Daphnia pulex: one gene and its partner. The protein of the gene in region 1 binds, or shares a complex with, the protein of each later gene. Links are inferred from orthologs where the notes say so. Each region holds a gene or a part of one and is shown on either strand. Other genes may lie near its edges. The genes, in order: general transcription factor IIH subunit 2-like and general transcription factor IIH subunit 5-like.

Region 1 (4,405 bases):
TGTTCTGGAGATTTATCCCATCGATTTTTCAATTTTGTGATGCGTCTCATGTCGACGGGTGGTTTCGATTCGTTAGGTTTCGCAATTTGTAAACCACCACTCACATTTTCCTTGAATGGAGGGATCTGATCCAATGATGGGATATCACCGTTTAATTTCGACGATCCTTTCTTCACTTGTGGATTTTTTTTCTCTTTTGCTTTTCTCTCGCGCAGTTTCCGTTGGCTTTCAATTTGATTTTCTTCATCCTTTGAGTAATTAATTTGGTAAAAATACCAACCAATCTCCATCATAAGATAGCTCAGCACAGCCTCCACTTCATCCTGGTACACATCTATCATTGGCAGCTTTGAATTAAAATAAATAAAGAAAGAAATTGTTTAGTTGCACAATTTTTTCAATAAGTAACTTCAGACAGAGATTTGCCTTACATTGGAAGAGCCACATTTTTCCTTATTGGGGCATAATTGAGGCTTCACCCAAACAATAAGGGTTTTTCCTGCAATTTCTCCAGTGTTGGACTGCTTATTAAATGCATAGTAGAAACAAACAATACCATTGTCTGTAACCCATACATGGTTACAGTCCTATTAAAAAGTCATGTTAAAAAATCACATTCACTATTAACATTTCATTCAACAACTTTTACCTTGCACTTGCATGCCATGCTTAACTTTTCTTCTAATGAGTGTTCCCATTCATGTGTAGATGGACAATCATTTGTTACAGCAAGTGTCCAGGAATCTTTGAAATTCTTAAATTTTTCTTTGAATACTTTCTCCCACTTATTCCACATCCTAATTTGAAAATTTAATTAGAAAACAATATTATCAAACTTTTTTGTGGAGGAAATCATAATAAGAGAAGAGAAAATTTCAGATTTATACTTGTCATCAATTTGATCCCATCTCCTCATTCGATTGACTCTGGCTCTTCTCTTAGTTTTCAGTTGGTCTGGGACAGACATTCTACAACTTTCACACTGAAGTTAGAAATAATTAAGAACAATTCAGTATCTTTACAAAGCTTTTACATACTTTACCTTCAGCAAAATACTTGCAACACTATCTCATGCAGCTTTACGTAATGACGCACTTCCACCCAACGAAAAGATAAATACACCTGTTGCTGATTACGAATGCTTTTCGATTTTCGTATCAATACTTGTGCTTCACGTGAGCTACTATCATTATCACAGCCGTTAAACAAAATGAATTCTGTATAGAGAGTAAGTTTACAGCACACTTTTCAGATTTGTCATCACAATTTGCTTGCTACATTCCAATTTCCGTTCAGCGAAAATTGGAAAAATGTAACATGAGGCAATCGGGGCGGAGACTTGCGAATTCTCCCTACGATTTGTTAAAAAAGTCACGTGATAAACACAGGAAACGATTCAAATTTCAAAGGAAGGATGACAAATTTTCTGTGATATAGCCCATGAGTCATTATTTAAATATGATGTCATCATAAATTTTTCACAGTTTTTTTTCTATTTCTTTTTATTTATTTGAAATTATCATGTATTTTTTTTAGTTTGAATTCTCGTGGTTGAGTGAAATCTGGATCTGGAATCTGGCATCCCTGTAAAGAAACACAAGCAGAAGACATTTTCGAATAGGAAAAATATGTTCGAAAATAAGGTTCTCGTGAGTCGCAAGAAGCCAAGAACAATTGGTGTCATCAATTGAATATTTATAACTGTTTAAAACGCAAAAACCACGCTTATTTTACCAAAATGGCAGATGAAGAAGAAACCAATGAGTATCGCTGGGAGTCGGGATATGAAAAAACATGGTAAGTACTTAGTGATATGAAGTATAACCATGAGACTAAATTCACTTATTGAATGAAATCTAGGGAAGCTATTAAAGAAGATGATGATGGTTTATTGGAATCAAATGTGGCTGAAATAGTAGCCCGAGCCAAAAGGAAAAGAGCTGCCCTGAAAGCCACCGGTGCGATCCAACTTGGAATGATGAGGCATCTCTTTGTTGTTATAGATGCTTCAGAATGCATGTTTTTGCAGGATTTGAAACCTACTCGCTTCCTCTGTGTTTTAAAGTTATTAGAATTGTTTGTTCATGAATTCTTTGACCTTAACCCGATAAGTCAGTTAGGAATATTAACAACCAAAGTGAAACGCAGTGAACTTGTTACAGCCCTAGCCGGAAACCAGAAAAAGCATATTGAGGTAAATCTTAAGTTTATCATCAAGAAATCAAAATATAATTTTAAACATTCCTAGGCATTACAACAAATGAAGGATACTTCGTGTGAAGGGGAGCCATCACTTCAAAACTCATTAGAAAGGGCTATGAATGGTCTGAAAAACATGCCTGCCCACTCTAGTAGAGAAGTGTTGGTGTTATTTGGCAGCTTGACTACTTGCGATCCGGGTGACATAAAAAAAACGATCAAGTCTTTGAAGGAGAATAACATTCGGGTTTCAATCATCGGGCTGGCGGCAGAAGTAAGGATTTGCCGAGAAATTGCCAAAAGAACTGGTGGCACTTACAATGTTCTTCTCGACGATCATCATCTGAAGGAACTCATTCTAAATCAAGTGCAACCACCGGCTGTAGCAGGTAATTGTTTCTTTGGAATTGTTACTATTGGAACGCGGTACAGTGTAGCTTTGAAATTTAGGTTCTATGGAGGCCTCACTGGTGAAAATGGGTTTTCCTGGAGGTAAAACTGGTTCAGGCGACGGAGCTTCAGATTCTGCTGCAGATCACGCCCCAGCTTATTGTCTTTGGTAAATTATTGGCGATATTGGCGTATATTCAAGTGTTTCATCACTTTCTGTTTGCTTTACAGCCATATTGAAAACGAAACATCATGTTTAATGGGCAACAACAGTGGCTATAACTGTCCGCAATGTGGAAGTCGTTATTGTGAGCTTCCAGTTGAGTGCAAACAATGCGGATTGACTCTGGTTTCTGCCCCTCATCTTGCCCGTTCTTATCACCATCTCTTTCCCATCAAACCATTTATAGAACGAACAGAAGTTCCCGAGATGACGCATTGCTTTGCGTGCGCCAAGCCTTTTGGTGAATTGGATCCCAATGTAAGAATGATTATTGGTTCTTCGACGATTTTCTTACATCTGTTATTTATTTATTTTTTTAAGGTTTACGAGTGTGAAAACTGCAAACAGATTGTATGTCTTGACTGCGACCTATTCATACGAGAAACATTGCACACATGCCCTGGATGTGCTAGTGATCCAATCACAGCTCAAATGAAAACTAACTGAATAAAATTGTTTCATTCATTCAGAAGTTGAACTCCACAAATGTACATAACGTTCGGTTGGTATTAACTAAAAATTTAATGGTGTAATCCGAGTATTTGTGCAGTGTACATTTGCAATGAAAACAGAGCCAATCTATTAGGGACATTAGTCACGTTAGTTTGAATAAGGTACACACAAAAAAAAAGTCAAATAACGTCTTGTAGGATAGTTTTTGAAAATTAAACCTAAAAAGTTTTCGTCAAAATGTAAAAGCTTATATCGCACGTAATAATAGGAAAGAAAACCGAAGAGTAAAAAAAAAACATTTTGGTTTTGGCGTATTCGTGTGCTGCATAATTTTCAAGTGTCTTGCATAAGTCGACAGCTGCGACAAAATAGGCGGCCGTACAAAGGATAACATCGCCGCTCTGGCTCATCCGTTAACTGTAATCCACAACTCTAATAGCAAAAGAAACATTTAAAAATTGCGTTGAAAAGAAGACCTTATTTGTTGAATGTCAAACCTCGCAAACATAGCAATCAACGTGAAAATCCTTGTTCATAGACACAACGCGTACCGTCTCTTTGCTACCCTATAAGTGCATAGAAAAAAGAATGTCGTATCCCTTTCTTTTATGAGCAAAATTCAAATTTGTCAAGGGCCCTGGAACCAAATAGATCTCTCACCTGAGCAGGCGTGATAATTTCATCGCAAGCTGCGCATCTCGGTGCAAACATCCTTCACCCAGCAAGACAACGATGATACAAGAAAAGTGTTCAAAAAAGAGAGAATTAAGCAGGCTCTTAGGAAGTAAATATTCCTCCAATCAGGCAGGCAAAAAATGGCCCAGCACGTAAGAGTTTTGACTCAAAATAAAAACCATGTACCAAAGAAACACGCAACGGAGTGGTGCAGGTAATGTGGTACAACAGATCTAGGTGCAAAAAAGAGATGGAATACTTATTTTACCTGTGGTAGTCGGTCACACAGTAGATTTTATGATCAACGTCGATAGTGAATGGAACCCCGTCCAAGCATTCGTTGCAAACGCAGCAACGGAAGCATCCAGGATGATAAGATTTTCCCATAGCTTGTAAAATCTGTACAACATATTTTTTTAATGATTATAATTGAAACGGGATTTGTTCAGAAAATAAAGCTCTTAC
Region 2 (3,058 bases), about 4.3 Mb from region 1:
TCGATAACCGGGTCCATTGCTGTTTCTACTTCATTTCTCCATATGGACATGGGTATGATAGATTCCACTCGTGATTCAACTAGATTTCACAGAATGTATTGGCTAATCTTTTCCTAAATAGGCTTAAACCCCTTGATACGCAATTTATGAAAATGCTGCATCACAAAGTCAACATCGTGCCTGTAATCGCTAAAGCAGATATGCTAACAAAGAAAGAAATTGCTCGGTTGAAGAAAAGGGTAAAATTGTGACCAACATTTAGATTTATTATAAACTTGTTTAACTAAAAAATTATTAGGTCATGGAAGAAATTGAGGCAAACGGAATTCGTATTTACCCACTTCCCGATTGCGATTCGGATGAAGACGAAGACTACAAAGAGCAAGTTCGTCAGCTTAAAGACGCAGTGTATGTAATAATTCATTCAGACTAATAACAATTATAATTCATTCATAATAATAATAATAATATAATTCATTTATTCAGACCTTTTGCTGTATGTGGGGCCAATACGTTGATTGAAGTTAAGGGCCGAAAGGTCCGCGGACGGCAGTATCCATGGGGTGTCGTTGAAGTTGAAAATCCTGAACACTGCGATTTCATTAAACTCCGAACGATGCTGATGTAACTTGTTTGACTCGTCAAAGATCGAAAATCTTGCATTGCACTAACGTTTAATTCTTTCATTATTTAGTCAACAGCTACAAGATTTACAGGAAGTAACACAAGATGTTCACTATGAGAACTACCGATCAGAACGTCTTGCTAAAGGTGTAGCTTCGAATCGAAAAACCGCTGGGCCAACTAATTCCACCGCGCCATCGGCTGCTCCGGAGCAGATTAGTGAGAAAGAAAAAATACTTCAGGTTAGTAACTATTGTGTTATTAATAGACAATGGAAATAGTGTTTCGACCGTTTGCATCATTGTTTTGTTCTCACAGGAAAAAGAGGCGGAGCTACGACGTATGCAACAGATGTTGGCTCAAATGCAAGCACAAATGCAACAACAACAACCTCAATAGCACTGTGCGTCGTCTTTAACAGCAATTTTCAGTTGTCACTTAAACCAAAAGGAATTCTTCTCTACTGTTTTGACTGTTTATTCAGCTTTGATTGCTGTTTCAACACCCTTGGCACTCTTACCTTCCAATGTGAAGATCTTAGGTTTCCTCGATAAAATCCCATTCAAGTGCCAACATTTAACAAATTCGCTGTGCTTCATTATTTGGTCACTTCACTAGTAATTTTCCTCATTTGCGTACATTCGAATTTTTCTTCCATGTAGGGCAATTAAAGCCCAGATGCGCCTCGAATATCCTACCCAATCATTTTCTTTTTAGTGTCTCGGACTCTCGGTACTGGTCGCAGTATTTCAATATACAATTTTTTCAGACTCTTGCTTCCTTTTTCCCATTAAAAGATTTAATTTTTCTTAGTTTTCTTGAAGTGAAACCAAACCTTTATGAATGGAAGTCTTGTAAATTTTTATATAATGCGCCAACAAACTCCTTTCCCGCTCAATTTAAGACGCCACCTACCGACGCCAATCAAAAGCTGGAAGTGCTGAAAGAAGATGCCAAAAATCCAAAATGGTGATCAGACGATCAGTTACTTACTTACTTTTTACCAATGGGGCAAGATGGTAAACGTAACTAAAGGAATTCTGGTAATAATTTACGGTAAAACTTATAAATGCCACTTGATTTATTATATCTTTGTATTTGAAGTATGGTATTTTAACTTACTTCAATCACTAGTGAAATTGACTGTGCTGGTAAAAGTTTCTTGTCAGAAAGAAAGCACAAAATATTCGATCGGACTATCCCGTGGAAATAGTCATAGATTTAGAAATTAATAAGTATCTCAGGTGGCAACTTATAATGGTTTACCTTTTCTTTACATGGTGCTTAATTGTTAAATTTATACTTGAATTTGTATTATTACCCAAAGGTTGAATGTGATGCTGCTATGAAACAATTGCTTCTTCATTTAGACGAGACACATGCTCTAGGCAACAAATTCATAGTTCAAGATTTGGATGAAACTCACGTTTTCATTGTAAAATTTAAAAAATACTTCTATTTTCTCATATTTTGTATTTTTATCTTTTTGACATTTTCTCTGTTAGGCACCTGAATATCTGGAAGTTTTGCAGTCTAGAATTGATGATTTGATGGACAGGATCAGTTTTCCTTTGGCAGAAAGAGAAATCGAGTAAATTATCTATCATCATGAATTCATCTCAGAGAGAGTCAGCCCGTCAGAAGGATGCCAATTCCAGAAGGGTTTTGGATGAGGCAGCTCGTAGGAGAAGAGCAAGGAAAGCATTGGAAGCACTTGAGCAAGATAATTTTCATGATGACCCTCATGCCAATTTAGGTATTTTTGTAAGTTGGCTAGTTTTCAGATCTTTCATTAATTCTGGATATTTATGCAGTACTAAGCAAAAAGATCCCCAAGTTTGAAGAGTCTCTTGATGGTAAACAAACAAGAAGAAGGAAATCTAAAAATTTCGAAATTTTCAAACAACGGTATTTTGTTTAATATTAATTGCTGAAACGAAGTGTAATTCTATTGAAGTAATTTCTCCTCTTTTACAGGTTTCGAAAATCCTTTGCACAGCTGTTGGAGGAAGAACAGGTTAATCGCCCAGAGCCCCCAAATTATGTTTCAGCTCAAGTTCCACCATCTAAGTTTCCCGAACGTCATTTTTGTGCTGTTTGTGGATTTACTTGTAGTTACACCTGTTTATCTTGTGGCGCAAGGTACTGTAGCGTCAAATGCTTAGGTACTCATCAAGACACGCGTTGCTTGAAGTGGACCGCCTAATAATATTCCATTGCTTTCTTACTTGTCATCTCATCAATAAACCCTTTTCGATTATACTTTTTCTTATTAAATGAACAAATAAATCAGCGCTCCTCTAACTATGATTAAAGTGTATTAAAATGCTCATATAAAAATCCTTTTGATTTTGGGCAAATTATAAATATGGAGCAACAGCACAAATTACATGAAGCTCGGTAGTCCTAGAAAATTTCATTTGCTGAAGCCTGA

Evidence for each region.
Region 2: general transcription factor IIH subunit 2-like (region 1) and general transcription factor IIH subunit 5-like share a complex: the UniProt entries of both Caenorhabditis elegans proteins name them as parts of the 7-subunit TFIIH core complex. The link is inferred for Daphnia pulex from reciprocal best matches to the Caenorhabditis elegans genes gtf-2H2C and gtf-2H5.

Annotation. Positions count from the first base shown.
Region 1 is NC_060021.1:11,747,500-11,751,904, forward strand, and holds the start of general transcription factor IIH subunit 2-like, read left to right. Parts: upstream 1-1,581; 5' UTR 1,582-1,738; coding exon 1,739-1,797; intron 1,798-1,860; coding exon 1,861-2,194; intron 2,195-2,248; coding exon 2,249-2,588; intron 2,589-2,649; coding exon 2,650-2,758; intron 2,759-2,820; coding exon 2,821-3,070; intron 3,071-3,133; coding exon 3,134-3,259; 3' UTR 3,260-3,598; coding exon of another isoform or gene 3,599-3,697; 3' UTR 3,698-3,762; coding exon of another isoform or gene 3,763-3,831; 3' UTR 3,832-3,925; coding exon of another isoform or gene 3,926-3,977; 3' UTR 3,978-4,208; coding exon of another isoform or gene 4,209-4,339; 3' UTR 4,340-4,405. Other genes in the region: uncharacterized protein LOC124193377, read right to left, coding at 1-347, 432-587, 650-797, 888-967; LIM domain-containing protein jub-like, read right to left, coding at 3,599-3,697, 3,763-3,831, 3,926-3,977, 4,209-4,339. UniProt on the Caenorhabditis elegans protein: Component of the general transcription and DNA repair factor IIH (TFIIH) core complex, which is involved in general and transcription-coupled nucleotide excision repair (NER) of damaged DNA and, when complexed to CAK, in RNA transcription by RNA polymerase II.
Region 2 is NC_060021.1:7,407,686-7,410,743, forward strand, and holds general transcription factor IIH subunit 5-like, read left to right. Parts: upstream 1-1,565; 5' UTR 1,566-1,574; coding exon 1,575-1,667; intron 1,668-1,951; coding exon 1,952-2,059; intron 2,060-2,129; coding exon 2,130-2,219; 3' UTR 2,220-2,247; downstream 2,248-3,058. Other genes in the region: septin-1-like, read left to right, coding at 1-52, 122-239, 299-408, 487-624, 695-866, 2,248-2,380, 2,439-2,532, 2,602-2,830. UniProt on the Caenorhabditis elegans protein: Component of the general transcription and DNA repair factor IIH (TFIIH) core complex, which is involved in general and transcription-coupled nucleotide excision repair (NER) of damaged DNA and in RNA transcription by RNA polymerase II.